Linked DNA regions of Lytechinus pictus. The protein of the gene in region 1 purifies or fractionates together with the protein of each later gene. This does not show direct contact. Links are inferred from orthologs where the notes say so. Each region holds a gene or a part of one and is shown in the gene's direction. Other genes may lie near its edges. The genes, in order: contactin-2-like and neurexin-4-like.

Region 1 (16,802 bases):
GAAAGCAAATTGCGCGTAATCTCCTCGAAAGAAAATACCCACTAAATAGTAGGTACTTGTCAAAATTACGAGAACTCTAGCGGGGATTTTTCCAAGGTCGCAGGTATTTTGGCTATGTGAAAGCAATTTACGGGAACTTTTAGCTCAGCGTGTAGTTGGGCGCAGGCGCCGTCGGTGGCTGCTGAGCTAGTGATTTTGAATCTAGCGCCTTGCCTGCTTATTAGACCATACTGCGCATGCTCCTAACTTCAGGAATTTATCCCGAAGGGTATGTTTCGGGGCGGTGTGAATGCAGGTATAATTAATGGGTATTTTTTAGCCTAAAAAAGTTCTCGTAATTTAACAGGGATTCTTATGATCGAGGCGGTTTGAAACCACCTTATGAGAGTTGGAATAAAAAAAAGTGTACTAGAGAGGGAAGGGGATGAATGATTGATGATTTGGAATGGATGCAATCATGAGATAGGAAAGGAGATTGTGAGGGAAGGGATGAATTATGAATCATGAGATGAAAAAACATTGAATTTAGATTTAAGGCGGAGGTCATTTCTAAGAGGATTCCTTAAGTATTCTGATATCAAAAGTTGACAACAAGGATGAGATAAAATAACGGGGGGGGGGGGGTGAGAATTATGATTGGCACTGTATTGTTGACAGGTGCAAACGAGAACATCACCTTGTATACATGTATATGTATTTCATCTTCTCTCTGTCTACTGTTAATTTCCCAAGGGGAAACTCTTTTCGGTCACTCTTTGAATCAAGATCGTAATAGAGAGGCAGACTTTTATGTAATTTCATATTTAGTATTACCAAGGAGGTTACATTTTCACTCCTTAGTCATTCACACTCCCAACCATTCTTCGCATTCAGCGTGATACAAGTGCACTGATACACCTTCATGTGGAACCTTCCATCTTAAAGTATCATTCAAAGCTAATCAATATTGAGAATGGAGATTAGAGCTCTTTTAGAAATAATTTTCTGTAAGATTTAATCATTTCAATTTATTTGCATAGTTTACCAAGCAGTGTCATAACAATTAAAATGTGATTGAAAACATAGAAAGTCATTGTACACCTGCAACATAATACCTTACTCATTTAGGCCTACACTATTTTATTTCTTAAAAATGAAAATATGAATTAATTGAATATAAATTAATTAATTCATATTCACAGTTTACATGTTCATGTTACAATATATATCATTCCAATATGGATGAATGAATTCTAATGTACGTATTGAAATAAACCAATAAATCAAAATGGAGTGAAGACCATCTTCTTGCGTCATACAATTCATTAATCCAACTTTTCGCATTCATTTTATCAAATTCAGATCCTTTGTTTTCCACGTTGAAGAGTGTATTGTGCTGTATGATGTTGTTCAGCATCTGCAACCAAATACATTTACCTTATCTCCCCCCCCCCCCATGTCTCTTCACGTAGGCATCATTAATCTTTGGTGGCGCACTGACATACACCCTCACATAACTTAAACATGGATGTTATGATATGATGGTTATACCACTGTAGTATACCATCTCCTGATGATAGCACTCTCTGATGTAAACAAACATAATGAAAGTGGTTATTGTTACACTTCCAGGGGACTGTCCTGTATGTGGGGGAGAACTTTTTAGTGGAGTGGTGCTCAATCTTGTTCAATTTAAATGTCTCCGGAAAGCTAAGATGTAATTCTAAATCCATGTCTTAAACTGGCAACTCTAGGATATTTTTAGACCAAATTTATTTGTCTTTACTTTGTTTGAGATTGTTTTTGTATCTTCATTAAATACATTTTGGATTATATCATTTTGAACTAAAACAAAATAGTGTTGATGCTTACATTATACATTGATTATGTGTGGTTATGTGGTTTTTGCTGCATTTTTTTATAGTCAGATTCATGACTTTCTCGCACATTTTCAATGGTATAGATATATTTTCAATATCAAACCCATTCAAAATTATATTTTTGATAGAAAATATGCCCCCAATAACTTGTATTGTGGTACATGTAAATATATCAAAAACTTCAAGTGTTCTCTCTGTCCGCTTCATGTATAGTGACTGTTGGACAAGTCATGTTTTATAGGGTGTTTTTTTTTATTCCTTTCATTACACTAGTAAGGTGTCTTGATAATTAGAGTGTACCCACCTCTCATGCTGGTGTGATATTTAAAGGGTTTCTTCTGTTTTACCCTCACGCCGCCCCACAAATCTTAGTATAATAGATCTCCAATCTGTTTATAATTGGCCTCCTTTTCTATTTTTATCAACGGTAAGTGTGCCTCATACAAACTCTCAAATTAGCATTCTCAAATGCCCAATGGCAATTTTAACCCCCAAAATAGGTAAAACCACAGTGTCAAAGCATAGACCTTACTGGGTGTTTTGTAAAGTTCTCCTGTATTTACATCAAGAGACAAAATGATTCCTTCTTTTTCATTATATTGTTTCAGCTTTAGGTGTTTTCTGCACTACTCCAAATACCTCACTTCATATTATTTCAATTTTGTTTTCAAATTATATTTGGAGGGTGTAGTAACTAGACCATTTATTTTTACGAGTGAATGACTTTCCCTTTTCTTTTCCCAATGCCATCAACTTACAAACATGAATATGACGTCTGACATGCCAGATCAGGGAGCCGTTTCATAAAGATGTTCGTAAGTTAAGAGCGACTTTAAGAACGACTGGTGAACCTTTCTTACGCGCTTAACCATCGCCAATGAATATACCATTTTCCACAAGAAAGGATCACCAGTCGTTCTTAAAGTCGCTCTTAACTTAGGAACAGCTTTATGAAACACCCATCTGAATGGTTAATTGCATGTATATGCATCTTTCTGTTAGGCAATTATTTCAATTGATGGTTGTTTGGTGTATTGCAAACATCCTCTGGCATCCTAATTGATGGTCTTCTCTATTAATGGCAAGAAGGTAATTTCCTCTACATGGCAATACAAAGCTAGCGTCCTTTTGGTTCCAAACGGCCAACCTTATCCCTCTCCCCCATGACTCACATAGGTCCATAGAATGCAGCGTTTCAAGACCTATTCATCATGGACACATTTCAATTAACTCAACGCGACGCGGACCTTCTTTTGCCTAGTATTGTAACCTCCAAAACAAATTAGTGTGATACAATTAGACGTCATTCTCGGCTAAACAGGATCCCTATCGAAATGTGATATATGAAATGTGACAGGCTCCTTATCCAATAGTTAACTACCAACAATCTCTATATCTTCTGTATATTTTTTATTTATTTATATTGGTTTTATATATTTTATACTGCAGGGTAGGCCTGTTCAGTTATGCAAAACTGCTTTCCAAACGCGCCCTGCAGTTTAACATATAACTCAACATCATAGCAATTCAATGTATGTAACATATAATTATAAAGTAAAAACAGAATACATTATATACAAATAGAGTGAAATCAACAATTACTCATGGAATCATTACAATTACAGTATTAAAATAAATATTTTTGCATCATTGAAAGTATAGCCTTCATATTATATATAAATGTGTTTGTAAGAGAATGCCCATAGCTCTACATGATTTCTCATGGCATTAGAGGATTTAGAGAGTTAATGTGTGATGCAATTCATAAATATTTGGTGCTTATAGGGTTTTTTTAATCATGAAAATTAGTAAAGATAAATTGTCATAACCTCCAGCCATATAAGTGTACATTAGATATCTTAGTTATTTGAAACGTGACAGTGTTTTATTTGACCGAAATGTTATTGGATGTTTATGCTTTGAATTTAAGTAACTAGAGGACCTAGAGCTTTCTGTTATTTCCGAGGGACTTGGCAATAATGATTGTTGTCTTACAATAGTGCACACGCATAATGACTTTGATCACACTTGGGTCAGTAAGTTATGAAAACACTGCTCTTACAACTTTGCTGCCATGCAGCAGTAAGTCAAGCAGTAGATAAGTTATAAAAATACACTTTTTAAAGTAGAATGTGACTTGAATTGTAAAATAATTTTTTTTCTTCTAAATACTATATATTTTTTCTTTCAAAACACAAGATCTACCCATTCGATTGGTTATCTTTTATGATCCTTGACAGCAAACAATCCAAACATTACTCAAATATTATTCAAAAAAAGTATAATATGACCATATGGTGCAGTGATGGAGTTTTTTTCTAAGAAAGCTCCCATAATGAAATGAATTCCCAAAATACAAAACCAGTCATTCTGAATTCTAATGAGCTTTTTAATGAATTACGCACCACACTCGCACTCATCATCGAGTAATTAAAATTAGTCATAGAGACACGTGTGTAGCCCACCTTGCTTTCTCCTGTACTGATTGGCTTGTATGACAATAGCTTCACACTGACCATTGTGACCAGTGGCTAACTAGCCAGACCATTAAGGTCATCTGTTTACTCACAGTCTTAGTCATCACAAACAAGTATGATATATCCCTTTGTTATTTTCATCTTCATTCTCACTCAATTATCCAGTTCTGATGAATTGATTGTTATCTTTCTATCCCTCATTCAATTCTCTTCTCCACTGTCAGCCAGAACACTCTTTTTTTAACCCTATGCGTGCTGATGTTGCAAATCTAACAATCCCCTACCTTCAAATAAGATAAGCTAATAAAAGGCAATATTTCTTGGATAACATCTATATAATAATAATAAGTATCAATGGTGCAATATGGAAATCTTGAATTAAAGAAAATAACATGGAACAATTGTCATTATTATCCCCCAAATATTAATTCAGCATGCAAAGAGTTAATTTTGTTTTATTTTATTTCTCAATTTTCAAGATAAATATGCAGCATAACATATACAAAGGTAGTACATTCAATTTTTACAAAACAATAATACAATGGACAATATATAAGCAATGAAAAATAAATATTAACAAGATGCATCATTAACTTGAAAGAAAATATCATAGTGTAAAAGAATGCAGGAGACGGCCATCGCTGCTTAAGATTGCAATTATACCTCAACTGAATTTTTATGTGGAACGTATGATCTTTATATATCCCTGCTTTTTAGTTTGAGTTTTCCACATGTATATTTTTCATGAATAGATTGCTGTAGCCATTACCTTTTATCTCAGTTATTTTGACAATTCATCTAGATAGTTTCCACCACTTTGCATAATAATTATGAAATAATTATATTACAAGTTCAAGTCATTTATTTCCAATTAAAAATTTTGATTTTTGATTTTTATGTTAATTTTATTTTAATTTAACAAATTTTGCCATCAATTTGTTTTTAATTCTTAATGCAATAAACCTTACCATTTTGTTGTTTTCTGTTTAATCATGAAATTGCCTCACCATCATATACTCCATTAATTTTCATCTAATATTCCCTGGTTTGGTGCCATGCATGTTTTATTTAACCATCATCCCTTGGAAAAAGATCTATGTACTCTGTGTGTATCGATGGGGAGCTTTCGAGAGCTTTTAGGGTAATTAACATTACAATCACTCAAGACTGTCCCGGTTTATTGGGTAGCTACACAGGGTTGAGTGCTTCTATTTTAGAACTGACATTTTGATAACTATCAGGTCTTGAACAAGAGGTATTATCGGATCCCTCGTTTTGTTTTTTCTTTCTTTTTTAAAGTTAAGCCACACAAATTTCTCTTCTAATACTATGTCTTTATATTAGTGCATGTCTGTTAAGTGCTGTTTTTGTAATCATGATGAATCTTAAATTCTGTGATCATTGATAATTTATATTTTTAAGATTTCAAAAAATATGAGCATGGCCATTGTTGGGAAGATGGGTGGGGTTGTGTTATAGAGTTTGTGAAAATTATTTTCAAACCTCCCTGGATTCCTGATTCATAAGCTGTGATCGATGTGTAACCCTTGCCTATGTTCTCTATCTATATTTTAATTATCTATTCAATCTAGTTACATGCATAGCTCCATCATCATGCCTAATATTTGATATGCAAAGCAAACACAAAGCACCACAATATCCAATAACAAATGTTTGCAATGAGAAAGTCTACAGATCGAAGCATCGGAATGCTTCCAGTCACTTGAGGAAAACGTGAAATATATTACTTCACATTCTCTGGCATTTTTCAAGCATACCTAGACTGTAGTCTAGCTTGTGTTGAAGTAAGAAATGGAAATAATTTTTCAAGATGTAGAAAGGAAAGGAAAGTGGAAGTTGGAATTTTCTAAAGAACGAGGCTCAGTATGGTCATGGAGCTATTATAGCTCCATGGTATGGTATAGTGTTTGCTGTAAAGTTAGGTCCTGGTGACTCCTGACTTATTGATTCATCTCCGGGCGCAGTGTGCACAGCGGGATCATAAAAATGGCCTCATGTATTAGCTAAGACAACACTGAGCTGTCTCTCAAGATCTCTTAGAGTGTACTAATGGATCTATGCAGGATGCCCTTTGAAAATGAAGACATATAAAATATCAAGTTTGATCAATGGCCAGTTGGGAATTGATGACACAGTTTTCATTTGTATTTTCTTGTCTGTGGAAGGAATTTCTCGAGGATGTCGCCAAACATTGCAGTTCACATTCACGATGCTGTGTAGGGATTTTGCCATCTCTCAGAAAATGATTATTTCACTAGTTTTACGATGTTAATTTCCCGGTTGGTACATACACAGGGGCCGCAGAACGGTCTTCAAAGTGGGGGGGGGGGGGGGCTGAGCCAAAAGTGGGGGGCTGACCATGCGAAAAATCACAATCATATGGTCATTTTCACGTTTTTGTGCACGGTTTTGGAAAAAAGTGGGCCCCCCCCCCCCTCTTCCACGGCTCCTGATACATTTAAGTTTATTAGGCTCATGTTAGATGTTAGATCATCATGAGAAGAAGCACTGGTGGATCCAGGGGGGCACAGCCGGCCCATGCCCCCCCCCCCCCCCTTTGAGAAGCAAAATCAAAATGTGTAATGTAAAATACCATTAAAACAGAAGTGTGCCCCCCCCCCCTTTGAAAGTGAGGACCTTTTTTTTTTTTGCTTGTCAAATTTTTTCGGGGACGAAATATCATTAATTTTTGGTTAAAAACTTTTTTTTCCTTGTCAAACTTTTCCTAGGAAAAATGTCCCCCCCTTTTGGAAAATCCTAGGTCAGCCCCTGAGAAGAAGCGTTGGGTATACATTGTCATTCTGATTCATTGTTAGTATGAGCATACACTGGATATTCAAAGTGTACGCAAGTGTCCTGTAATCAAATATGTCAGTATGTTTCTTGTTCAACAACATTATTCTACATACGTCTGTGTTAGTCCCAACCAAGACATTTTGGTAATAGTATTACTGTACAGTATAAGGGACTTCGGATATTATCCTTTGTCGGCTGGAACTGCTTTCGTGCCAGAGCCGTGTTTTGCTATTTATAGAGGATTTATCTGTTCTGTTTGGGATGGATATACAGTGAAATGAATCTCGGAAAGCTGATAGTCCCACACAGGCTATGTAGTGGGGTACTTGGTCATGAAGACGCTATGTGATCGATGATTCCGTCCCCCTTGGTATGTAACGCCATACCCCTTCCAAATTCAGGGATATACAATGGAATGGATGGGCTCGAACATGAAGGGGATTTTCTTACCACTTTATCTCAAGAATTCTCATTATTTCTTCACTAGTGAAATGTATATCAAGAAAGGAAGCTTGAATTGAGTTAAAGCCATGCTGATAAATTAACCATTGTTCGGTTCACTGGGGGAAACAAGCCATTTGTTATATGATATGGGATATTTAACAAAGAAGAGCAATGGATGGATTGTACAATGGAAAGTTTCTGCAAATCAAAACATTGTTTTCCACTTTTGCAATACCATGAAAAGCGACACTTTTGTGAATATGGTATTTCAGGGAAGAATATGATGCAAATTGCATGCCATAGATTATCATATAAGGTAGATAGAAAGTTGTTGTATGTAACATACCCATGTAAGTAAGGTATAATATTGTAAAAAATCAGAATGAGACTATGATAAACAAGGGATTTTTGTTGTTAATTACAGAGAGTAGAAAAATATTTATTAGATTTTCTGCTTTGGAGATTGTAGGCTTAAGACGGAAATGCCAAACCTAACCACATGGCAGTATATGCCATTGCTCTATGAATAACAATGAAGGCATACTCATTAATGCTTTATCATCAGTCAAGTCATGTACCAAAGCCCAAAGAAGAAAACCAAACCATGTATTGATTTCCACATTCATCAAGTTTTTATTCATACTAGGCACGTTTTAGGGATTTATGCGTTAAATGACTATATGATGGATCACTGAAGTTCCTATTGACTGTTGATTAAGGAAACCACTCTTCCATTTTTAGTAATAGTATTTGGGTAAAAGTATGCAGCGCTTATTTCTGTTGGTAGGATGGGGATGAGAAAAATGCAAGTGAAGATTTTAGTGATCTATGACTTTGTTCAGTCATTAGAATTGGTTATTCTGCTTTCATAGTTGGGCAACTTCTGATTTTCATTTTCATTTCACCAAATGTATGGACCGACTCATGAATAGTACAGTAGATTTAAAAAATTGTCCAAAATATTTCTCGATGTAATTGTGATGATGCTTCCCTGTGTAACATATAGCTGTAGGACATCAGTATGATCAGAATTTATAATTGTCATAGTTACTTTTAATCACCAGCATTCCACATTGTGTGGAACATTATAGCAAAACATTTTTTTTTTCAAATAATGATACACCATGATACACTTTGCTGTTCAGTGTCATCTTGAGTAGATGTGAATATTTACTTTATACCAATACACCATTGTATACACCTGCAGTTACACTCTGGTGTTCAGTCTCATCTTCAGTAGATGTGAATATTTACTTTTTTTCAATACACGATTGTACACCTGTACATGTAGATACACTTTGGGGAGCATTTCATGGAAGGACTTATCAGACGTTTTATCTGACAAGTACTGTTTAATACGACAGTTACTATGGTAACAGTGCCTCTCAGCCAATCATTATCACGGAAAGCTGTCAGAACTGACAACTTTTTAGACGAAAATGTTGATGAAACCCTCCCCTGGTGTTCAGTGTTATCTTCAGTAGATGTGAATATTTACTTTATAACAATACACCATTGTATACACCTGCAGTAACACTCTGGTGTTCAGTCTCATCTTCAGTAGATGTGAATATTTACTTTATAACAATACACCATTGTATACACCTGCAGTTACACTCTGGTGTTCAGTGTCATCTTCAGTAGATGTGAATATTTACTTTATAACAATACACCATTGTATACACCTGCAGTGACACTCTGGTGTTCAGTCTCATCTTCAGTAGATGTGAATATTTACTTTATAAATTTACACCATTGTATACACCTGCAGTCTCACAATGGTGTTCAGTGTCATCTTGGGTAGATGTGAATATCTATCATCAGGGGCGGTGGTTGTTAAGCAGTAACATAATTGCTGAATTTCACTCACATAAACAAGTACTTGAGGCGAAATGGCAATATTGCTTGTCCGTATTCCAGTTGAAATGATTGTAATACCCCCCCCCCCCCCAAAAAAAAAAATGCATTTTAGGTTCAACAATCATATATATAACCTTGGTTTTAAAGCTGAGCTTGGGTCATTCGATAGAGTGGTCTGCAATTATGCAGTCAGTTCATTGAAAAACATCTTTTGTAAAAATGATTTATGTGCATATCCCAAACCATATTTTTAGATTTCATCATATGTGATCACATGTTAGAATTTACACAAAGGTGTTGTAAGCAAATTATAAATGGCTGTATGGCTGATCTTGTATATTTCAGTAAATTTGCTGTCAATTGCAGATTATCATATTAAAGATAAAATGGAAATGTTATGATGAAAAAAAAAAGCCCTTGTACATTTCTCCGGCAGGAGCTGCTGTTGTATTCATGTCAAGTATCACTTTACACAAAGAGGTGTCATCCAGCCTTTGTCTCTTCCAGCCATGTAATATAACACCATCCAGTCAAGTATATAATGCCCTGTTCCATGCTGTCAACCTGTATCATCTCGTATTACATGTGTCAACCCCAAAAATAGATTAGAATAATTATGAGATGGTGGGCCTTTGTCTAGACCAAGTTAAGACTTCTCATCTTCGCTATCATCCTCATTGTGTCATTTCAAGGCAGATCATTTTGTAATTAGTTAGGTACTTTGCAGAGTAATATTGTCTGTCTGAGGAGAAATGATGGTTTGGTGGTATCTGATGTCGGTTGTTTATCTGATCTTTACTTGTGAAAGGATGTATAGTAAAAATAAACATTTTAATGTATTGTTTTTAAAGATTCTTCCATTACATGGGATAAAGAAACAGCAATCGTCTGTATAACAGTAGAAGTAAGGCAGGTAATTTCTGTTTTTTCTGGGGCTACATTTTGACCTCACCAGGACAATACTACATTTACGATCGACCCCATGGGAATTTTAGGTGCTCTTTTTTTCTAGTTTTCTGGGACTTTTGGGGGGGCATTTTAGAGGTGAATTCACCCATGCTCTGTATTGCCATCCTGTGGTTCCTCCCTATATTGGACCATGCATTTATATATCAGAGCAAAATGCATCTTAACAATCAATCATATTCTCTTCAGACCAGTGCCATGGCAGCCAGCAATCGCTCTTGGTTGTGATCTACTAGGCTTTTCCTTGATCCCTGTAATACCTCTCAGTCTTGGGTGGCTAAATGAGGTTCTAAAGTGTCCAGCATATTCCTCCGTTTAAAAAAAAAACCTTTGTCGGTTAGTAATTATTGTCCAGCAATTTCAAAGGGTTGCTCTGAATTTTTTTAATGAAACTTGCATGCCTTACAACATATTTAATTAATTCTATTGACAAAATTGGTTCATTTCAAATTGAAGATTAAGATTAATCAGTAGTATGTTTTGAAGGGTTCTGCAATAAAAAACTGAAAATTTTATTGTCAGTCATTATCAATTGTTTCCATGATTATGGTACCGAAGTATGACATCGCAAAAGTTGTAAGTGCTATTGATTTTGTTCATAAATTTCTAAAAGTCGAAGAATTAACACAAATTCGAATTATTGTTCTACATGTAGTTCAAAGCTTGTTTTTATTTTGTTTCATATCCTCATGGTTCCTGCAGATTACTATAAATGTACGAGTACTAAAAGGCTCTATTATGCTTGCCGATACCTTCAGTATCTTTAAATATATATTTTAGATTCTTCACTATGCATATATTTTTAATATGACTTCTCTTTTTTCATCCCCTTTCCTCTATCTACAGAGTAAAGTAACGTTCATCCAATACACAGCGTAAGAGGTGAAGATGTTTTACAAGATAATTTTGAGTTGTGCTGCCCTCTTTGGTGCTGCTGTACAAGCAAGTGAGTAATGGCTTTATAAGTGTCGAGCAGAAGGAAACAAACCCAATGAATTAAATCTCTAAAATACGTAGTATTTGCATTATTATTATCATTTATACTCTTGTTGAAACATAACTGGTATTTCTTGAGTAAGCGGAATTTGATAGTGAAATCAGGAACTTTATTAAGGAAATGAGATCGCCATAAAAATGATTTGTAGGTATGACTAGTCATAGGAATACATCAGTTCTAAGCAAATTTGGTGGAATTGGGGGGTCGACATCTCGCGCAGGCAAAGGCAGCGCACCGTGCTAGTGTACTGAAATGTGACTGTGATGCTTAAAAAATGAAAACCATATGGCAAAAGCAGAGGAAGTACTCACCAAAAACAGTCTATGCAGCAAATTTCTCTCTCAGCTCCTGGACCCTGATAAACAGCATAATTTCATGTAAGCCGGCCAAGTCGCTTCAGCCAGCGCAGCATAATCGCATGAGGCCTTGCGAATTTCTGTCTGTCCACTGCAACCGGTAGCTGGCGCACCAAATCTTCTGCCAAATTTCCCCAAAAGATAAATTTAATGGCCTGTATTCTGAAGTCAGGTTTAACTTAATTAGACCATGGTCTAACTCTGTGCTAAAATTATGGGAAGCCAAAAGTGTCAACATTCTTATTAAGTTTTATGTTTCTTATGTTTACTGTGCTCTTTCCTGATTCATCGATGGTGAAGACAATCATCTATTTATACTTCCTAGACAATTACGAATGGTTTGAGAGCCAAATGAGCTGAAATGTGATATCTCTACCGTTAGTGATTTATGTCACAATCGGCTTATCCATACTTGAACCACAACTTTAAACCTCAGTTTAAGTTAAACCCGACTTCAGAATATGGGCCAATATGTTCATGATCAGGGCTCAAGGCCACATATTGGCGGTCTTGGTCTTTGCCTTGGCCACAGGCGGAGTCATGTGCACAAAGGAGAAGGTTATCTCCAGTGGCTTCGTGACTTAGAAGCACCAGCCTGTTAAATATAGTATGACTGCTATCAGGCTGAGCTTTGGATTCCCTCCTTGTTTTGACCCTATCCATGATGATTGTTTAGAAACTTTAATTTGTATATAATATTTTTTCTAATATAACTATTTACAATGTCATGCATGTTTATTTGTTGATACAAATGCTATTGATTTACAGGGTTGAACAGCATCTTCAAACAATTTTTACTTTTTTTTTCGTTCTGTAAGAAACTGGCCCAATCCTTGTAGAGCAGCCACAGGAGACCATCTTCGATACAGCATCCAACCTGAACACGGTATCCCTCAACTGTCGGGCCACCGGTGATGAACCCATCACGTACACGTGGACCAAGGACGGTGCCGCCCTCTCGCAGGCAGGAAACCAGAGGCTGATCATCACACCGGGACAGCTGACCATCACCAACCCGGACAGAACCACGGACGGAGGGGAGTACGTGTGCCTGGCTGAGAATCACGTGGGGATCGTCAGAAGCTTGCCAGCTGAGCTCGTATTTGCCTGTAAGTGGTGCAGGAATTCGGTTCAGGGCCCAGTCTTACAAAGAGTTACAATTGATCCAATCAACCACAAATATGGAAAGCCATCAACATCTAAAACACATGTTTGTTCAAAATATTTTCTAGATATGATGTATATTCATACGTTCACTGTTTTCTTGACAGTTCAGTATGCTTCTCTTTGTTTTCGAAGGACATTGTGCAAATTACCTAGAGAAAAAATTATGACATTGATGGATTTCCATATACTTGAGGTGGATAGGATCAATCGTAACTCTTTGTAAAACGGGGCCCCATTTCTATTTCTTCAAGACTTGCAAAACTTTTTTACTTAGCCCATCACGGTCCCAATGTACCTGCATTTCTGCTTTAGCCGACATCTGTTTCTGCCTCATGTTCAATTTCCATTTTTGACCACACCCCCCCCCCCCCCCCCCCCATCCACAAGTTAACCCCTCATCTGTTTCCTCGGGACTTCCTCTTTACATCAGTGAAACACGACATGGGGGAGGGTTAATGAACAGCAGTAGTATAAAGCTCAGTTACTGAACATTGTGTTTGTGAAATATGTTATCTATGCACATGTACAGACCATAACAAAATCTCTGCTTTTCTTTCAGACGTTGATCAGTTTCAACCAGACGCTTCACTATCTACGACGCTAAATGCCGGAGAGGGAGGCTGTATAAGCTGTAACCCACCCCCACATTATCCAGGTCAGTTTCAATACATGATCAGTTAACCATATACTATATCAGAACCTCTCTACTTCTACTTCAAACATCTTTATTCTCTTCCTTTTCCTTTTGTTATTGCCATTGGGAGTAGTTTTTCTCTTAACACCCCCCCCCCCTCTCTCTCTCTCTCTCTCTCCTCTCTCTCGCTCTTGTGCTCACTTTTTCTCCCTTATTTTCTTTATTTTGTATCTTCATCTCCTCTCAATTCTCTCTCTTTGAAAGAAAGTTTCTCTTTCTTTCTATGTAATCTCTTTCTTTCCTCTCTATTTCTGCCTCCTCTCATTTTCTGTCTTTCTATTTCTCTTTCACTCTATCTCTATTCGTATCCTCTTTTTTTATACCCCTCCCCATATTTCTTTATTTTTATATGATTATCCAGTTTCTACCCACCAACTCATTGTTATATACTGTATTTTCTTTATAAAGCTGACATTTCAATTAAAAAAAGTGTCATGAATTCAATACTAAGTAAATTTTTCAGCGCATTTAAAATATCTCATATCGTGATACATAATGTATATATAACTTTGTCTTTTCAGCTTATACAGAAATCCCCTAAATTTTATACTAAGAAATACATAGTAATTTCCTTAATCTGCAATATACAAAAATTGCCAATTATACAGCTTTTTGTTGTGGCCCTGCAGTGTGAAATGAAGCAGTTAATTTCATTGCAAAATTGTGATGAATTGCAAATGCAGTGTAATAAATCTATACATGCTGGTGAAAAAAACAATGCGTAAAGGTCTTTATTCTTTTCTCAATTTTGAAAATTGCATTTTTATTTTGCTTGTTTCAAGGATCCAATGAATTGCAATTCACCAACAGCAAAAAAAAAAAAAATGAGGACTTGCTAATACATGTTTGATAAACTAAGTGAATATCATTGTCCAACATGTTATGAGCATCAACTTAGCAAGAGCTGATTCTCATATTGATGTGAATAATACATCATTTGAAATATGTTTGTGCACTTTTTATCCACCACAGGCTCAATATGATAATTCACATCACAAATTTTTAAAAAGAATTCTTTGTTTTATTTCTTTATGAATCATTTTGTTTTTATTTCATTATGTAATCGTCATGGGGCGCCCTCTCTTTTTTTCTTCGGATCTTCATCGACATTGTCAAATGTTGCCGCGAGCAGACGGTTTGTATCCATCATGATCATCGTCTATAGTGTATTTCCCATGATGCAATTTGTAGCACATGACTAGTGGACTAACCATACAGTTTGATAGTTAGTGTTAGACTTTGTTTGTTTACCTTTCAGCTTTGTCACTTTAATACTTCACTTCTATTTAATCTTCAGAGGACAGACCAGCTGATAAATGTATTCAGGAAAAAAAAATGTCAACGATGGTTTGCGTTCATGCTTTCTATAATGAGTTGAAAGCAACCTAAATTGTAATGCATCTAAAGCTGCTCAAACAATCACAATAATGACATATTTTTCATATCTTGGGAAGGGTATTGAATATCGAGAACCACAATGAACTATAGCAAGTCAGGGTTCTCGCAGTCGTTGAAAATCCTGGAAAAATTTTTGGTAATAAAAAGTCAGGGAAAAGTCAGGGAATTTGGAAAATTTGTGAAAATTCATGGAATTGCATTTACCTCTTGGCTATGGCAGCTTTCCAGTTTGTCTCGCAACTCTCATACTCTGTGATCATACTCTGCTATTATAATTGGTGTTCATGATTTCCATTTTTCCCAGTTTTGTGACATCCCAAATTCTACATAACTCCCGGGAAGTCATGGAAAGCAGCAATTCAGTCATGGAATTCTGTTTTCAAATTTCTGTGGGAACCCTGCTAGTTAAACTTGAAGGATTGTGTGTGGTTTCGTAATCAATTTTTTTTTTAATCCCAAGGTTGTCATAAATCAATTAAAATTCAATCAGTTTGCGACCTTGAAGAGAAAACATTTTTTGACAAATGAGGAATATACCCTTGTGGAATGCATTACTTCCAAACCACACGATTTATTCTACAGGTTGTGGTATCAGTTTTGAATTCCCGTTAAATGACATTTTGATATTTCTGAACACGTTTATCAGCTTGTGTGATGCAAGTGACACTGTCGATAAGTCCCTCTTGCTGTTATGTGAGATTCATCATAAAGATGTTAGATATCTTCAGGTCTTTCCTGCTTGTTCGTCAATTATCCATCTAATCTTTATCCATTCCATCTTAGTTTGGAGTTCAACATTCATATTTTCACTATATATAGTTAACAGTGTGATCATTATCAGGAAATTCATGTGGAAAGTAGTTTCGCTATGTAGGTAACAGAGTGGTCAGTATTTGCGAATCTTCTGTCAAGGTATCAAGCACTTGTACTTTGTAAGATCTGTATAATAGTAAATGCCCGTGTCTGCTGCCTTGGGTATCAAACTGACGAAAATTGATTTTAATATTAAATCACAAAATTTAACAACTTGCGTGCAAGTGCGTCAAAAGAGGCACTCAAGTGAAAACAACCTGACACTCTGAGTTGTCCATGAATATAATTTTACTGCTGAGCATATGGAAGTCAATTTTATATTTTCATCTTCATTATGAGACCAGAATTGTAGAGAATTGCATAGAGTCCAAATTGTAGCTCAGAAAACCCATGCATTATGTAAGGTCAATGCCTAAATCAAAATACCTTTGTGAGATGTAAACAACTTGTATCATGTGGCTTAAATCAAATTAGCAAACATCCATCCACAGTGGTAGAAATGCAAGTCTGTGGCAGTGTTTTTTTTTTGTTTTTGTTTTTTTGAAGTAAATGGTTATTTCCTCTCATCAAAATTATTTTGTGAATATTCGTGTAGCCAAAGCCAGTTAGTATTCAATAAATGTGAGGTCCATTTCTGATCTATGTGTCATGTTGACATGCGACCTGCATTTTGCCAGATTCATTGATAATTATACCGCATTTCTATTATATACGACGAGGCATGCATTGCATATTGCATAATCATCCTGTACTCCTTCAAGTGCATGATGACAATGGCACAAACATATATATACCTGTATATACTTCACCATATATTTACCTCAATATGAATGCCCCATTTTGAGTCAGAATCATCTCCATTATTTTTGTTTGAGGTTGCATAGAATACTCACTGAGCAAACTAAATGGTGTTACAACAAGTCATGTAACAGTGTTTATTAATATACAAATATC
Region 2 (17,145 bases), about 34 Mb from region 1:
ATTTCGTTAGGAAAGCTACGTGTGTAGGGTCAAATTTGCGAGGGTCTAAAAAAATAAGACTAAAATGTTTTAGTAAGGAGGTACTTTTTGCCCCAACAGTCAATACTACAGTACATGTTTAGAGCTTTGGTTTAGAGTACGATTTGCGTGAGGTGTGGAAGTTGGGGCCGTACTTAACCCAATGATGTAGGTAAAGGTAAAACCGAGGACTGACACCCGTGACATAACAATTAAGATATCGCTGTACTTGTTTAGGGGTTCAATTCAGGGAATACTTGCCAAGAGTATTGTTTTGTTTCCAATACTTGAGGGTAGGGTTTCACACACCAATACTTGTTAAGGGGTGCATTTTCAGAATATGGAAAATACTTGTTTTAGGGTGCTTTTCGAGACCCCATGGTCGCGCATGGTATCCACTCGTCAATAGAAGCGGCCCCCGGGCAATTTCTTTAAGACCCAGACCGGAGCTTAAAGTGAAATTGACAAATTATGGGAGATATCTCAAGTAGGTTTATGCAAACACTGACAGCTGAGTATATTGCTTCATAAGAAAAATTAAAATTAGAGAGTCAAAAGGGCCGCTTTCGATCCTAGCAGAATCTTCGTCGAAGGCAAAATGACAAACATATAAAGTGGAACAACCATAATATAGACCACAGACATGCAACAGCAACACTAGAAACAAGGAGACAAAAAGGGCATTAGAGAGTTGTGATGACCAATCAGGTTAGAGAAGGGGATGAAAGCAAAGGAGTAGGCAGACACATAGGGAAGTTGGTGTAAGTAAGGCCAGTGAAAGACCTAAAGCTATGAGCAGGGGTATGAGAGTTAAGATTTTTATCTGATTTCAGATTTTTTTGTTTTGATTTTCAGCTTAATTTCAGCTTATTTTTGGCCTTCCTCTGTACAAAAAGTATGGGAGCTCTTCCTATTTCAGACTTTTTCAACACTCTTCAGCTTTTTTCAGATCTTTTTATTTGTGACCACTCACACCCCTGTATGAGGGATTAAGATAATTGGGCAGGCAACATCAAACAGGATCTGGAACAAAACAGTGATAGGGGGGGGGGGGTATAAGGAAGAGATGAAAAAGAAGAGAATTGGTGAGAGGTGGGTCAAACAGGTTACAAAGAAAGGCATAATAAACTGGTGCATAAGAGTGGGGGGAAAAAGGGAAAGAATGGGGAACAACTGATAATGTGCAAAAGACATATAAGTATATATGATAAAGCATTATACAAACTAAGAGGTGAATATAAGGGTAAATATATATCTATAAATATATATGTATATAAATATATCCAAAAAGTAAAGTATATAAAAAATATATATATATATATAAATATATATATAGGGACAGTGATTTTCCGCGATCGCGGAAAACGGACGGAATTCACGGAAAGGGCCTTTTGAAACGGAAAGTGGCATTTCAAACGGAAAATCACGGAAAACGTATTTTCCCTCAAAATACACAGAATAGCAACAGAAATTATTCCAAAATCACAACAAAATGAGAATATTAAATGGCCACAAAACCCCAGAAAACACGATCTCACTTCGCTACTATCATGACAATTCACACATCGTGACTGCACTTGACATCAGCACACTCGATTGTACCCCTCACCCGTACTTGGCCTGCCGGGTTGGGCTTCACATGCACACATATCGTTCAACTACACGGTCGTGTGTTGCTGCCCTCTACGTTTGAAGATGTAACAGCACGATATCGTGGTCTTAAAATCCAAGATGGCGGATTGGCAAAAGCCGTTGACTGATGATAACGATGTCCAAAAAAACCCCAAAATTATCGATGAAATAATGCTAATAATGTGAAAGGTGAGGATGTATGCATGCTAAATGGGTTTGTAAAAATATTTTATGCACCCGCATAGATCCGATAAGAACGGATTCTATTGTGTTGGTACAGTAGCAGATACAAATTTTGACCAGTGCGAGTGTACGTGTTGTGATTTTGCTATTCAATGTGTAAACGGAATTGTCACTTTTCCGTGTGTACAAAGTCTACGGGGAAACGGAATTTCCGTTTTCTGACATGCTGAAACGGAATTTGAGATTTTCTGAAACGGAAAAGGCAATTTTTTGAAACGGAAAATCACTGTCCCTATATATATATGGTGTAACTAGTATTGTAAAAATTAAAATTAACAGGGTTCAATTCATGTGACATTCACACAAACTTTGTGAGAACTCTGCATGAACTGCACAAGAATTGTTTTAGGACATAGGAGATTTGAAGAAAAACTTATATGAATTTGCAATTTGAAATTGTCATTTGCATCCTTTGCAAAAAAGTTGTGAGCCCCGTGAAAAGACACACTATTCAGCACTTTCACACCGGAGAAGTCTGATGTGTGATTGTAACATAGACCTGTACTGTAGGTTCTTTGCTTTATTATGGGTGAATCAAGAGCATTGCATCAATAGAGCAGCAGTATGAATGGAGAAACCTTTCATTACCTGTGTTATTATGTGGAGGTATTTTGTACATGTATGGGGGAGCTTACAGTCAGCTTTATGGCATACCAGAACAATGAGTTGTCCTCAGCAGTGCTCTTCCTCTACATGTTGGATATCAATGCACTGACTGTGGAATTAGATGTAGGCCCTACATGTAGAATGAGACCTTGTGCAGAACCTGTTAGGTCTGCACACTCTGAGAAAATAATGTACAATAAATTTATCAATTACTTGTTGATTAATTGGATGAAGTAATTGATCATTTTATTTTGTCTTCTCTTCCTAGCAGAACCTCAATCATGAACACCTCCTAGATTGTAAAACACCTTGTAAACAAGTATTGACTTACATTACTTTTATGTTACATGTACATATTGTACCTATACAGTGTATGTTACACATGTAGACCCTACAACCTTTGTAGATCTATGTGATTCAGTGTTGGTACCAGTACCATGACATAAAGTTGATCTGAATAAAAAGAGAAAGCGATATGGACTCATCAGATTCAAATTCATTAAATACTTGCGCTTTTATAATTATGAAATAATAAATCATAATGTAGGTCTATCTGCTTTTTTGTTCCTATTCTCAAAGCATAATTTGACCTGGAAAATATAAAATTTTCATCATTGGAACATTGTTTTTTTAATTATCATATCATTGTGGGAACTTTGTGAAATCTTCATTTGGGGACTTATTCATTGCCATTCATGAAATAACCTTCAGTGGATAAAATTTCACATACTCCAGGCCCAGACTGTAGGCCTACATGTATTCAAGTTGTATGCCTATTGAAATGCTAAGTACAGTATTCCCTTTAAGATTTTGTATGTAGGGTATAAAGTCTGTGCTCTGATTGAATGTGGCTTTGTCCTCCCAGAACATTCCCATGTAGTGATGAGCGATCCCATCCTTGATGCATTTTGCCACTCGCCAGCAAATTATTGAAACATCATTTTCTATTTTTAATCTGTTTGGAGAAGCCTCCTGCCAGAAGTGATCATCACCTCCTTTGAGATAGTGAAGACTCAGGCTATTAAACTTGTAAATCACCATCATCTACTCTGTCTCCCTGGAGTTATGAGCTCCTCAGGATCCACTCCAAGGTGACACCCCTTAGAGTGCAAGATCTTGCCAGCTGCATGCAAGAAGTAATAATTCATGGAGTCACTCGCATTATTCAGTGCTACCCTATCATCTTCGTCTAACGCATTTCAGTCTCATATGGACTCATGGATGCCTTTATTGCATATTGGTGTAGAAGTGTGATCACACAGTGGGTGTTATTTCTAACAAAAAATGATCCGGACTGTAATTTGATTCTTTCATTCTTATAAACCTACTTATATTTTTTTACGCTAACAGACCAGACTACTAGTATGTAGATTGCAGCAAGTATCCATTTCATGCTGTTTCCGAGGTGATATTAAAAAAATACTCTGATCCGCATCACTTTGTATGTAAAATAAAGCATCATAATCTTGGATAGATGTATTTTGACATCAAATGAACTCAATGGATTTAAAATTGCAGAACAGAAAACAAGAAAAAATGAGAATTAACCTGGCAGAGGACAGTGACTTAATACAACTTACAAGTAGACATTTGGATTCTGGCCATGATACGACAAACCATCAGAAGTCAGAACAGATGATGTATATTGAATTTTATGTAATTCAATCATAATTTGATGAATTTTGCATTCCTCCAAAAATATACTGTATAGGACTATATATGTTAATATTTGTATACATGATGCAGAAGATAATTCCAAGTAACTTTTAAAAAGTCTTCAATATGTAGGCCTCCACTAGTACACAATATGATAAAGATGGTTTATAAAACATAGAATGTACGTTGTTCTTGTTAACTCTTTTGCAATGAGGATTTAAGGCCTAAATGTACATGTATATGAAGCAGGAAACATTTATAGCAATTTGGTATTGAACTTCGTTTTTGATCTGTAATTATGTGTTTCATAATGCTCATTCTGCCTTTAAAACTATTAAAAAAAAATACATCCAATGAATCATTTGTCTCTAGATATACATGCGTGCACATACTTGTACATATAAATCCAAATCCCTTCCAGAAACATGTGCTCAACCTTGTGCTGTTCCAGCTTTAAAGGGTTGTATTGGGTAATTTGATTATTGAACTTTAATTGCACGGAGATACTTTGAGATGGAGGGGCATTTTTTTACTACACTGGTGTTTTGTGAGGTATTACAATGTAGACTTGTCCACATTTATGCAGTTCTCGACTAAAACTGAGTTTCAAAAGGTGCTCATTCGTTTCATGCACATGTAAAGTACATGTATTCCCTCTAGTATTAAAATTTGATTTTGAAAAATGCTTTTAATAATAAACATGAATAATTATGATAAATTCTATAAAAGACCTACATATGTCATGACTTCTATTTTGCAATAAGAATACAGATATTGTTAATTTTTGTTTTTACATGTACCATGGAAATAAGGTATTTTTTTTGTCATTTTGGTGAAATCACTTGTAAACCTTGCCCTGTGACGTTGTGTTAGGATTAGCCCTTGTCATTTGTTTCGCCACCTCTTTTTTAATTTTTATTGGATCTAATAAATCTAGAATTTTAATAATGAAGCCTTCAAATAACTTGAGCAAGTCCCATGCCCTTCCCCTGCTGTGGTTGCCATGTCCCCTTTGTGAGTCTCCAGGAGATGTTCTCCTTGTTCACACTGAAAAAGATATAGTCATAATTTGTATACTGTAGATTCTCTGAAATTGTATACATGTAGGCTCTTCATGTGCTACATGTATATTTATACTATGATCTGAACACAGTCTGGTGTAATGTGAAAGTGTATGCACCAACAGAACCTTCAAACCGATAATGGTATGCCATTAAAGTAATGTTATGGCTTTGATTGGTCTGAAGTCATTTTTTTTTGGTGTGACTGTATCATTAAGGCCAAAATTCATTTTAAATTGTGAATTTGTGCAAACTGCTTGCATCAAATCATGAACTGTACTTACAATGTAAGACAAGTTTGACAACAGTAATGGATGGTAGGCCTACTATTTGGAAGCAGTATGCAAAGGGAAACATGGGTTACAACTAAGTACCCTGTACCAGAAATTTTAGTAATAAATTAGGGCCTACGTGATTTATAGAGAGTTTGGTCTTTGTATGATGTTTTTATTTGTAGTTATGCTCTGATAGGTTTCAGTTTTCACATTTTTTCTTTTGGTCAAGTTCACCCCAACAAAAAAATGATTTGAATTAAAAAAAAATAATAAATCAAACAAGTGCAATGCTGGAAATTTAATTTAAATCCAAACTTATGTGAAATAAGAACTTGATGGCATTTCAAAATTTTGTTTATTTTTCACAAAGGAGTATGATATGCACAACACAGGGATTTGTAAAAGAAATGAGAAAATTGATGATGACACTCACTCACCCTTTATTTAGTATTTTGTTTGCATGATAATACAATCATTCATATTTTGCACATTTGATAATGAGGAAACTCTTCATCAAATTATGACAATATGGCAATTCCATATACACGTCCAGGGAGGAATCAAACTTTCTTTTACATTACAGTGTGGAACAAAATTTGCTTGGAATACCATAGGCATATTGATTTTTTTCCTTTTTTTTCAATTTTTGTTAGGATGGACTTGCCCTTTAAATTTTTGAAAAGCTTTTTGGCATGTGAACAGGCTATAAGATTGTATGGACATCATGAGGCCAAGTGAAACCATGTGTTTCTGTTTCAGTGATGCCTGTATTTACTAATGATGTTGGTTTAACCAATTGTAATTGGCTTGTTTGAAAGCAGATGTGGAAATATTGCCACATGCAGTTCTACATAAATTGAAGTGTGTATTAAAGCTGGTGCACATGTGTAGGCCTGTATTATTGCAATTTTTTTAGTTCATTTATGTTCTGATTTCTTCATGTTCTACAAAATTTCAAGCTTGACATTTTTTTTTTGAAATTAGAATTCATATTCTCAGTAATGTGCATCTGTGTAATCCTGTGACATTTGTTTTATTTATGTGGTGTTTTCCCCTATCAATAATATCACTATTTACTCTTTCCACAGCTCACTTGCTATGATAATAATCATGTTTGTAATGATGAAAATATTATTGGATTTTCTTGTGCCCTTTTGTATAACTCTGTATTTATTGTTTTGTTTTTGAAAAGTAAAGCATATCCGATAATAATAACGTTACTTGTCTTCTCCCTCATAATTATTGCAGGAGAACCATGCAACCAAGCTCTTGGAATGGAATCAGGGGCCATATCTGACTCAATGATTACAGCCTCAAGCAGTTTTAGTGATCGTCGAAGCCCTCGCTATGCACGCCTCCACCAGAGAGATGGTGAGTACATGGCAATTTTCACTCCTCAATTTGTCTTCCCCTAGCTCCCAGCTCATTTTGTTTTTCCACTTTTTATATTAATCACTTCCGGAATACATGTTATGAAAATGATAAGCTACATGTACATTGTGTGCAAGGGCTGAGTTGCTTGAAAGGAGAGTTGAGTATTTTTTTAGCAACATTCAGATATTTCATCTCAATTTTCATCATCAATATGATCAGCAGTCTGTACAGTATGATTGATAAGATTTATGACATAGATGTATATATGAATAATCCCATTTCTTATTCTTTAATGATTTTAATGCGAGTTGGTGTATTCATTTTTTTGTCATGTAAAATATTCTTTATACATGATTTACAAACTGTAAACAATTTTGTTTTTCTTAATCTTCATTCTAATGAGGAATAATGAATGGACATTTTCACAATATGTATATATTCCTTGCACTATTCAATGTGTGTGTGTGTGTGTGTGACATCTTCTCAGTATTTTATAATTACACATTTAAATTTCAGGTTGTGGAGAACCCTGGTACATGTATGTCCTTTAAAAGCAGTTGAATGTTTCAGGATAAAATGTATTAAAATACAACAATGTATTAATTTCCATCTATTCTTAAACCAATCAACAGCTTGAGTAAACAAGTATTGCTAATTGGATAGGGTTTAGTTCTGGTTTGTTGGTGAAATCAATAGAGTCAGTAATTGTGGTAATAACATTCTCAAATCAGCAGATGGTGCAGAACCTTATGATTAATTACGAGTAGGCTAATAATAATTATGAGTTGTGACATCAATTATGTATAAACTTATGAAGGCAATTATCTATAGATTTTAATAGCAAATTGTTTATAATGGAAGAGCCATAGTACATGTATGTCCTTTGCAGTTTTTCAATGGGTTTATTCTATAGATTGACTATTAACAATTTGTTGCATGTTTAGCTCTCAAAATTTGTACAATGTGTACATTTAGATGTGCATAGATCTTTTTCTTTTCAACCTTTTGAGCACTTGTAAGGCCAAGTAAAAAAAGAAAGTAGTTGATCGTCCTCGCGTGCATCTATTTTGGCCACCGCATGAAATTTGTTACTATTTAATATTTTCAAAAATTGGCTAAAGAAATATCAAAAAGTGATGTTGCTCGTCTGCACCCGCTTCCCTTTTTGATTGCCGCATCAATTTTCTTGATATATTACTATTTTTATGGCTGCTGAAAAGCAAAATAATACACAAGATTGATGAGCGATTTGCTCTCATGTGCTCTGGGATCTCTCCCGCAACTTCCTAAAACAATTGCAAAGTCCGATATCGCCGTAACTGCGATAAAGAAAAAAATTCTGATTTGGTTTTTTATTGGTAATTTTGAAGATACAATCATAAATTAGCGAGAAAATAAAGTTTGCAAACTCTGAAAAAATCACATTTTTATTGCATTTTCATTGCATTTTTGGGGACCCCGCTTCCTAAATCTGACTAAATTTGTTGTATGCTTTGGAAATATGGCACAGATAAATCAATTTTAATGACGTAATTTGTATTTCATTGGGGGTTTTTGGTGAGTGATAGTGCCTGTACTGCGGTGTGTGTTGCGGTGATTGACTGTGCTTGTGACTGCATGTGTTGGGTGTGCATGTGTGCTGCAGTGATGTGATTGACTGTGCTGGCGAGACATGTGAATTTGTGAAATGAATAATTTTCTGGCGAGTTTTATAACGTTAGCTCTCCAGCGGCAATGCATTGAATATTCAAAAATTATTTTCAAGTGAGCTATTTATTATTTAGCAATTGAAAATTATGAAAGGATTCCGGTAAGTACCAAAAGCTACCAATTCTGTTCAAATTTGATAAACTTCATCCTTCCTTGAGCTTTTCAAATTGATGGACAATTTTAAGTTAGTAAATAGATCTTACAGTTACAAATATTGAAATAATAAACATTCAGTGAATAATTAACAATTAATTCAAAAATCCTTTAACAATTGATATCAATAAAAAAAAATGAATAGCGATTGAATAAACAATATCAAACATTAATCGCTAGAGGGTATTCATTTGTCTCGCAATCTACTATGGTCAACAAGGAAATTCGTGATCACTCTCGCAAAAAGTGTTCACTGGCTTTCTAGGAAATTCGTGATCACTCTCGCAAAAAGTGTTCACTAGCTTACAAGTTCACGAGCTTTCGAGTGCCGCTGCAACTCTTTATCAAGTGACGAAAATTATCTGAAAAAGTACTCTATTTATACTAATCTCCAGGACCGTACGCACGAACGCGAGAACAATAGGTGGGCATTGATCCGTTGCGTCGGTATGCGGTGCGGCCGGTAATCCGTATATGCAAATAAGCCGGGGGTATATGCAAATACGCCGTGGGTCGGCAATATGCAAATTAGACAAAATTGGCGGGCTCGCTAGTTTCCCGTGGGCGGGGGCTGACTAGCTGAGCGGTCCCTCGTTCGGGGCCGGGAACGATCGGGTCGGCGTGCACTGCCAGGTAAGGGGGTATTGTGCTGTCGGATGGTTCGCATCCAGAAGTCGGGGATGTCGATCCCGCTGTCTCTGTTGAAGTTGTTAGGACAAAGACGTATACTAATAGCCTCCTTAATCCTGCGTGTATACCAATGTCTCTCTTTGGCAATGCAATGTACACCCTCCCAATCTGGGTGGTGTTGCTTCTCCCAAGCATGTTCTGCCACCGCGGATGTGTCGGTTCGCTGTAACTTGTGTTCAGAAATGCGTTCAACTATCGGTCGGGCTGTTTCTCCGATGTAAGACCCGTCACATCCCTGGCAAGGAATGTTGTATACTACGCCATCACGTCTGTGATCAGGGATAGGGTCTTTGGGGTGTACAAGCTGTTTGTGTAAGGTGGTGTCCGAGCGGAAAACCGTTCGGATACCGTGACCTTCTAATCGGCGTTTAAGTTGTTGTGAGAGGCCATCTATGTATGGCAAGACTGTGCAAGTCTTGAAAACCTTCCGATCCCTTGGTGGTTGTTTTTTCTTGAAAGTGTTCTTGATAAAACGTCGTGGGTAGCCGTTGCTGTACAAGGCGCCACGTACGTGTGCTCTTTCTTTCGGGAGTTCAGGTGGGTGAGTTATGATACGTGCTGCTCTGTCGAACAGGCATTTAACAAGACCCTTCTTGACCGATTTGTCGTGATGAGAATCATATGGTATGTATTGGTCTGTATGAGTGGGCTTGCGGTAGACAGAGGTGGAGAGTTTCCCGCCCTCGTTCAAGCGTGTCACTAGCGTGTCAAGGAATGCTAATTTCCCTCCTTGCTCAGTCTCCAGAGTGAACTGGATGGACGGTTGCTGGCTATTCATGTATGAGAGTAGGCTGTCTGTTTCGGATCTGTTTACGATTATGAAAGTAAACCGACGTATCTCTTCCACACCCGAGGGTGGCATGTGGAAGGACACTTGGGCAAAGCGTTCTGTTCAAAACCTTCCATATATAGGTTAGCCACAACCGCTGAGACTGGGCCACCCATTGCTGCTCCTTCTTTTTGCTCATAGAAAGAGCCTCTGTACAGAAAATATGTGGATCTGAGGACGAACTCCAGGAGTTCGGCTATCTGTTCGGGCATAAGTGTGGTACGTTCTGATAATGTGGGATCGGATTGCATGCGTTGCAGGGCCGTACTGCATGCGCCCTCTATCGGTACGTTAGTGAAGAGGGAGACTACATCAAAAGAGATCATGGATTCCTGTTCGTTAACTGTCTGCTCCGATGTGAATTCAGCGAATTCACTGGAGTTGGAAACCGTGTGTTCTGAGCAGTTAGTGAGAGGGGACAGGATGTCCGCCAGGTACTTTGATAGGTTATAGGCAAATGAACCTACGCATGATACTATTGGTCTGAGAATTATTATTATTTAAATGGAAAAAAAAGCAGGACAAACTGCGATCCGAAACCATGCCCTGAGCTGAAAAGAGATTGGCTCTGGAAAACCATGGCTCCAAGGTAATAAAAATGGCTCTCATTCTTTTTTTCTAAATGCCCTCCCCCAAGTATATTTTACCCTTACATATATAATGTAGAATAATGTTTTAATCATTCACTTGACATGAGCATTTTGTTTTACAATAATACACTAGTACAGGTAGATCCATACATCAGTATAATAAATACATCAATAATTTTTTTATTGCATAATATACATTTTTCATAGATTTCCAATTAATTGAATATAGGCCTATATACTTATTTATATATTCATATATATGTTTTTACTCATTTATTATAAATATTGAGCATGCATCGATCACCTGGCTTAATCGAGCCTGACATGGCCTGACAATCATTTGAATAAAAAATAGCAAAAAAATAGTAAATAGTAAGGACCTCCCTCATCACTGATGTAAAAAAATAGGCCGAGAAAATGACTCCTTGTTTTTTTTTTTTAAATAGTAAGGACCTCCCTCATCACTGCTCTCGAAAAACCTGGACGATCAACTACTTTCTTTTTTACTTGGCCTAAAATATGAAAAAATGATTTGCTGTTGACAGAAAGCTAGGCACCTTCTGAATCAATATCAATTTGAGCCATGTTTTAGGCTGAGCAAAATGATGAATTGCATTCTTGAATGGGTTTGATCTTCAATGAGCCATCACTGTTTGCATTAATGGATGCCATTTGGGATTAAATGATTTTTACTTTCTATAGAAATGGTAGAAGTCTTTTGGTTCTCTGTAAAATGTATACATGTACATGGCATGGACTGTAAAACTGCAAGGCTTTCCCCCATGTACATGTAGGCCTATGTACTGTATAGCAGGACATACTCTTGATACATTTAGGCCTAGAATGAAAGAGGGGTTTTTGAATTGTAGAATACAGAGAGTAGAAACCAACTACAAAAAAGACCTACATGTTTAAATTGTACATTATTTCCTGGTGAAAAGTTAAAAGTTATCTCTACAGTTCTGTACTTTTACACGTTTGTCTTATTTTTTTTATAGTTTACTAGATGGATGGCTCTTTTTATAAATGATTTGTTTATTGTTATTGTTTACATGTTTGTGTGTAGTGAAACCAGTACAAATTTATCAAAATTTAATTAAAGAATGATCTGGACAATTCTTCAGTAGGAGCATCTTAACAGAAAGGGTTCTAAAAAAACCCTCACCTGACTCTACCCAATGAAGTTGGGAAAAGAAGTTTCTGTTATTATTGATGGGGCTTGAAATAGTTTCTTCTAGTACTTATTCATTCTCTTGATACTTTGATAACATCGACACCAACACTAAAGGCATATTCAGACGAGGCCAGGGACTTTTCAGACCGCCTCAAGGTTTGTCAGTTCCAAGTACAAGTATTTGGGAAATTCGCCCTGATCTACCCTGATCAGAAAATACCAGGTAATTTTGGCAGTGTACACTGTGAATTAAGTATACCTGCTAAATGGTAGGAATTTGCCGAAATTAAGAGAATTTTCACACAGATTTTTCGTAGGTCCTGGGTAGTTTGGCAATGCTAAAGCAAATTATGGCAACTTTCTCAACCTAGCTAGTAGTTGGGTGCCGGTGCCGTGAGTTGCTGCTGAGCTGGTGATTTTGAATCCCACACCTTAATATATCTGCTTATCAGGCCATACTGATTGTAAGGGTCTGCCTTGGGTCGGTATGAATGTGAAAAGTAATTTTTGTCTCGCCTGCATATTAGAGCGAGACTATAGGCGCCGCTTTTCCGACGGCGGCGGCGGCGTCAACATCAAATCTTAACCTAAGGTTAAGTTTTTGAAATGACATCATAACTTAGAAAGTATATGGACCTAGTTCATGAAACTTAAACATAAGGTTAATCAAGTATTACTGAACATCCTGCCTGAGTTTCAGGTCACATGACCAAGGTCAAAGGTCATTTAGGGTCAATGAACTTAGACCATGTTGGGAAAATTATTTTCAAAATCTTAACCGAAGGTTTAGTTTTTGAAATGACATCATAACTTAGAAAGTATATGGACCTAGTTCATGAAACTTGGGCATGAGGTTAATAAAGTATTAGTGAACATCCTGCTCGAGTTTCAGGTCACGTGACCAAGGTCAAAGGTCATTTAGGGTCAATGAACTTTGGTCAAGTTGGGGGTATTTGTTGAATTACTATCATAACTTTGAAAATTTATGGATCTAGTCCATGAAACTTGGACATAAGGTTAATCAAGTATTAGTGAACATCCTGCCTGAGTTTCAGGTCACATGACCAAAGTCAAAGGTCATTTAGGGTCAATGAACTTTGGCCAAGTTGGGGGTATTTGTTGAATTACCATCACAACTTTGAAAATTTATGGATTTAGTTCATGAAACTTGGACATTAGGTTAATCAAGTACCACTGAATATCCTGTGCGAGTTTCAGGTCACATGACCATGGTCAAAGGTCATTAAAGGTTAATGAACTTTGGCCGCGTTGGGGGTATTTGTTGAATTACCATCCTAATTCTGAAAGTTTATGGATCTTGTTCATAAAACTTGGGATATAAGAGTAATCAAGCATCACTGAACATCCCCTGTGAGTTTCAGGTCACAAAACCAAGTCAAAGGTCAGTTAAGGTCAATAAACTTAGGCCATGTTGGGGTAATTGTTGAAGTGCTATCATAACTTTGAAAGTTTATGGATAGAGTGAATGAAATGTGGACATGGGTGTAGTTGACAGTCTTAAGTCTCCGTTCAAATGTCATTTATGGTCAATGAACGTGGTATTATGTCATTATATGAATGATGTTTTTGTGAATGATTATTTTATAGTAGTTTTCAAAGTTAGCACTGCTGCTATATTAAATTGCGTAATGCAGGCGAGACTGCCAGAGGCGTTCCACTTGTTAGGTATTCTCAAGCCTGAACAAGTTCTTGTCATTAAATGGTATTCTAAAGATCGAGGCAGTCTGAATACACCTTCTAAGATTAATGTTAGGGGATGCTCTAACAAGCTAGATGTCTGCTAATTAAAGGAGGGTTTGGCTCTTCTCTAAAAAGAAATTTCCAACATTGATTGATGTTGGCATGTATGGATGAAGTTTTGCACTATATGTGAAATACTCCATGCTGTACAATCAGGGAAGTAATCCCCTGGCCCTGGTACTACATGTATACATGTACGTGTACATGATGGTTTTACATTATAAATTAGTTCTTAATTTATATTCCTTAGACAATATAAGGTTTTGATTTAAAAACCTAAACGATTGTAGTTTGTCTTATACATGTAAGTCTGTTTTAATTATTGCATCAGCAAAATAGATGTGCATGTATGATATATCTGTATGTACAGTAAATTGCCTATTAAAGACTTGAAATTTGTTCTGAATTGATTAGGTCTACTTTCAAAACATTAATAAATTATGTATAATACAATTGCAAAATGCAAGTGCATTTATACATGTTCTGTTAGTTAACATAGTTGGTAAAAAAATTATAAGGGTACAGTAGTCTGTCAGTAGTTATACCCTGGCGGCATCAGATTTGTTTTTAATAAGAAAAGTAGACCAATGACAAGAAAAGTGTTAAGGTTGTGTAGACAGAGAGAGACACTGAAAAAGTAAGAAAAATAAGATCTACCAATATAATGAAAAAGCCTTCAACAGTTACATAAATGCATTTTGTATTATATAATGCATGTACATGTAGTGTACTGTATGAAAATGAACTAAATTTACATGTATTCATGTTTACATATATATATTTAGGCCAACATGTATGCCTTTTACAGTGTTGAATAATGGGGGAAATCTTTTCAGAACATCTTTCTGTATTTTAGGGGGGTTGGTCTAATGAATAGCATTCTTCCTCTTTGGTTGGCGAGCTAATACAGCAGTAAAAGCCTCGTCTTACTGAAGGTTAATGATGGTTGAGTATTCTAACGGTACGATATTGCTTTTCTGAATAGTTCAGATGGCTCTCCTTCAATTCAAAGCAAGTTTTCTTGCAGTTGCACTGCGAGCTGTCATTACATTTTCATTATACTTCTTTATTTGGTGATTACTAGATTATTGGGTTATTTTTTGATGACTTCACTCAGTGCGAAAGCAAGTCAGTGTAGCCATTCAGTAATAGTATGTAACATACTGTAAGTGTACTTGATTTAGTCGCGTTTGTGAAGCTCTAGAGACCGCTTTTTTGACTAAATTTCCTATTCCTTACATGTTTTGGCTACATGTACATGTACGTGAAGGTGCAGAGCTCAGACTCAGATACCAACCATTCAATTGTGCTGCGATCTTCCCTTCTCCCCCCCCCCCCCCCCCCCCCGTGTCATAAACAGTGCAGGTATCATGAAAATATTTTCCCCACACAAGTCATATTCAATTATTCATGCTTGTACACGTACATGTTTATGTACATAATGAAAGAAGGGTGAAGATTCTGTTTCAGCCTAAGTGCTGTTTCATCTTGAAAATAATTGTACCAAGGAGTTTTTGCTGAAGACTGGCTTTTCGTGTCCATGTGTATGTACATGTATGTAAGGCAGTTTACCCTGAGTCTGATTTCACTGTGTAAGCACAGCTGATAACATAGTGGCACTTTTGAACTTTTTTGTCCTATTTTAGAATGTTCAGTGGTATGAAATTTGAACAAACATTATTTGGTGATGCAGGCTGGTCAAATATTTGTAGACTGATGAAGAGATGAAAGAATGTCACGTTGATCAGGAAAAAAATAATGTCTGGATTTGGTCTTGATTTTGTTTGCTGTCAAAGTTTTTTTCTTGTAGAGTCTATAATTCATGCTACATGTACGTGTAAGCAAATAAACATTCAAGCTGAATATTTTAGTGTTTTGTCTTTGTAGTTTAGTGAAAATTAAAGGTTTTTGTCTCACCTGCATAGCAGAGTGAGACTATAGGCGCCGCTTTTCCGACGGCGGCGGCGGCGTCAACACCAAATCTTAACCTGAGGTTAAGTTTTTGAAATGACAGCATAACTTAGAAAGTATATGGACCTAGTTCATGAAACTTGGCCATAAGGTTAATCAAGTATTACTGAACATCCTGCCTGAGTTTCATGTCACATGACCGAGGTCAAAGGTCATTTAGGGTCAATGAACTTAGACCATGTTGGGGAATCAACATCAAAATCTTAACCTAAGGTTAAGTTTTTGAAATGTCATCATAAATTAGAAAATATATGGACCTAGTTCATGAAACGTATACATAAGGTTAATCAAGTATCACTGAACATCCTGCATGAGTTTCACGACACATGACCAAGGTCAAAGGTCATTTAGGGTCAATGAACTTTGGCCGAATTGGGGGTATCTGTTGAATTACCATCATAACTGAAAGTTTATGGATCTGATTCATGAAACTTGGACATAATAGTAATCAAGTATTACTGAACATCCTGTGCAAGTTTCAGGTCACATGATCAAGGTCAAAGGTCATTTAGGGTCAATGAACTTTGGCCAAATTGGGGTATTTGTTGAATTACAGCCATAAATTTGAAAGTGTGTTGGTCTAGTTCATAAAACTTGGACATAAGAGTAATCAAGTATCACTGAACATCCTGTGCGAGTTTCAGGTCACATGATCAAGGTCAAAGGTCATGTAAGGTCAAAGAACTTTGGCCACGTTGGGGGTATTTGTTGAATTGCCATCGTATCTCTATAAGTGTATTGGTCTAATTCATAAAACGTGGAAATACGAGTAACCAAGTATCACTGAACATCTTGTGCGAGTTATAGTAGTTTTCAAAATCAGCACTGCTGCTATATTGAATCGCGTGGTGCAGGTGAGACGGCCAGAGGCATTCCACTTGTTTTGTTTTATGTTTTATTGGGTCAACACAGACCAAGTATAAACAAAAATAACAAATGAAACATAAACTATTTATAAGTAATCATTACAAAAAACAAAAATATATAGATAATATAAAAAACAAAAACAAAAAAATCGGAAAGTTTTATGCAGTGACACAGACGTGATATTTAACACAACTTTGATGTTATTTTATGAAAAACAGGAAAAAAAAAAGTATGGTCATACACAGTTAACAGGATACCATACATACAATGATACTGTGCAGATGACAAAAATTATAATTCGAACTTTCCATTTCTTAAAATGAGCTGCGAGTTTGTTTCTTTTTTGGTCACACAATACTCAATTTCATTTTGCTTCTTAAAAGATCTAAATGCTCCAAAGTTTGGATCAACTTTGCTGAATTTACAAATGAAAATGAAGTACTTCAGTAATAAAAAATAAGTAGGATATGAACTTATATCATTCGGATCACCAAACATTTTTCTGAAATTAGATAAAGTAAAATTGGAATTAAAC

What was found.
Region 2: the proteins of contactin-2-like (region 1) and neurexin-4-like purify together in Drosophila melanogaster (affinity purification with western blotting; 4 studies listed by BioGRID). This does not show direct contact. The link is inferred for Lytechinus pictus from reciprocal best matches to the Drosophila melanogaster genes Cont and Nrx-IV.

What each region holds. Positions count from the first base shown.
Region 1 is NC_087247.1:8,598,846-8,615,647, forward strand, and holds the start of contactin-2-like, read left to right. Parts: upstream 1-9,837; 5' UTR 9,838-11,311; coding exon 11,312-11,369; intron 11,370-12,594; coding exon 12,595-12,885; intron 12,886-13,502; coding exon 13,503-13,598; intron 13,599-16,802. UniProt on the Drosophila melanogaster protein: Required for organization of septate junctions and paracellular barrier functions.
Region 2 is NC_087247.1:43,054,571-43,071,715, reverse strand, and holds the start of neurexin-4-like, read left to right. Parts: upstream 1-10,571; coding exon 10,572-10,655; intron 10,656-12,125; coding exon 12,126-12,234; intron 12,235-17,145. UniProt on the Drosophila melanogaster protein: Seems to play a role in the formation and function of septate junctions.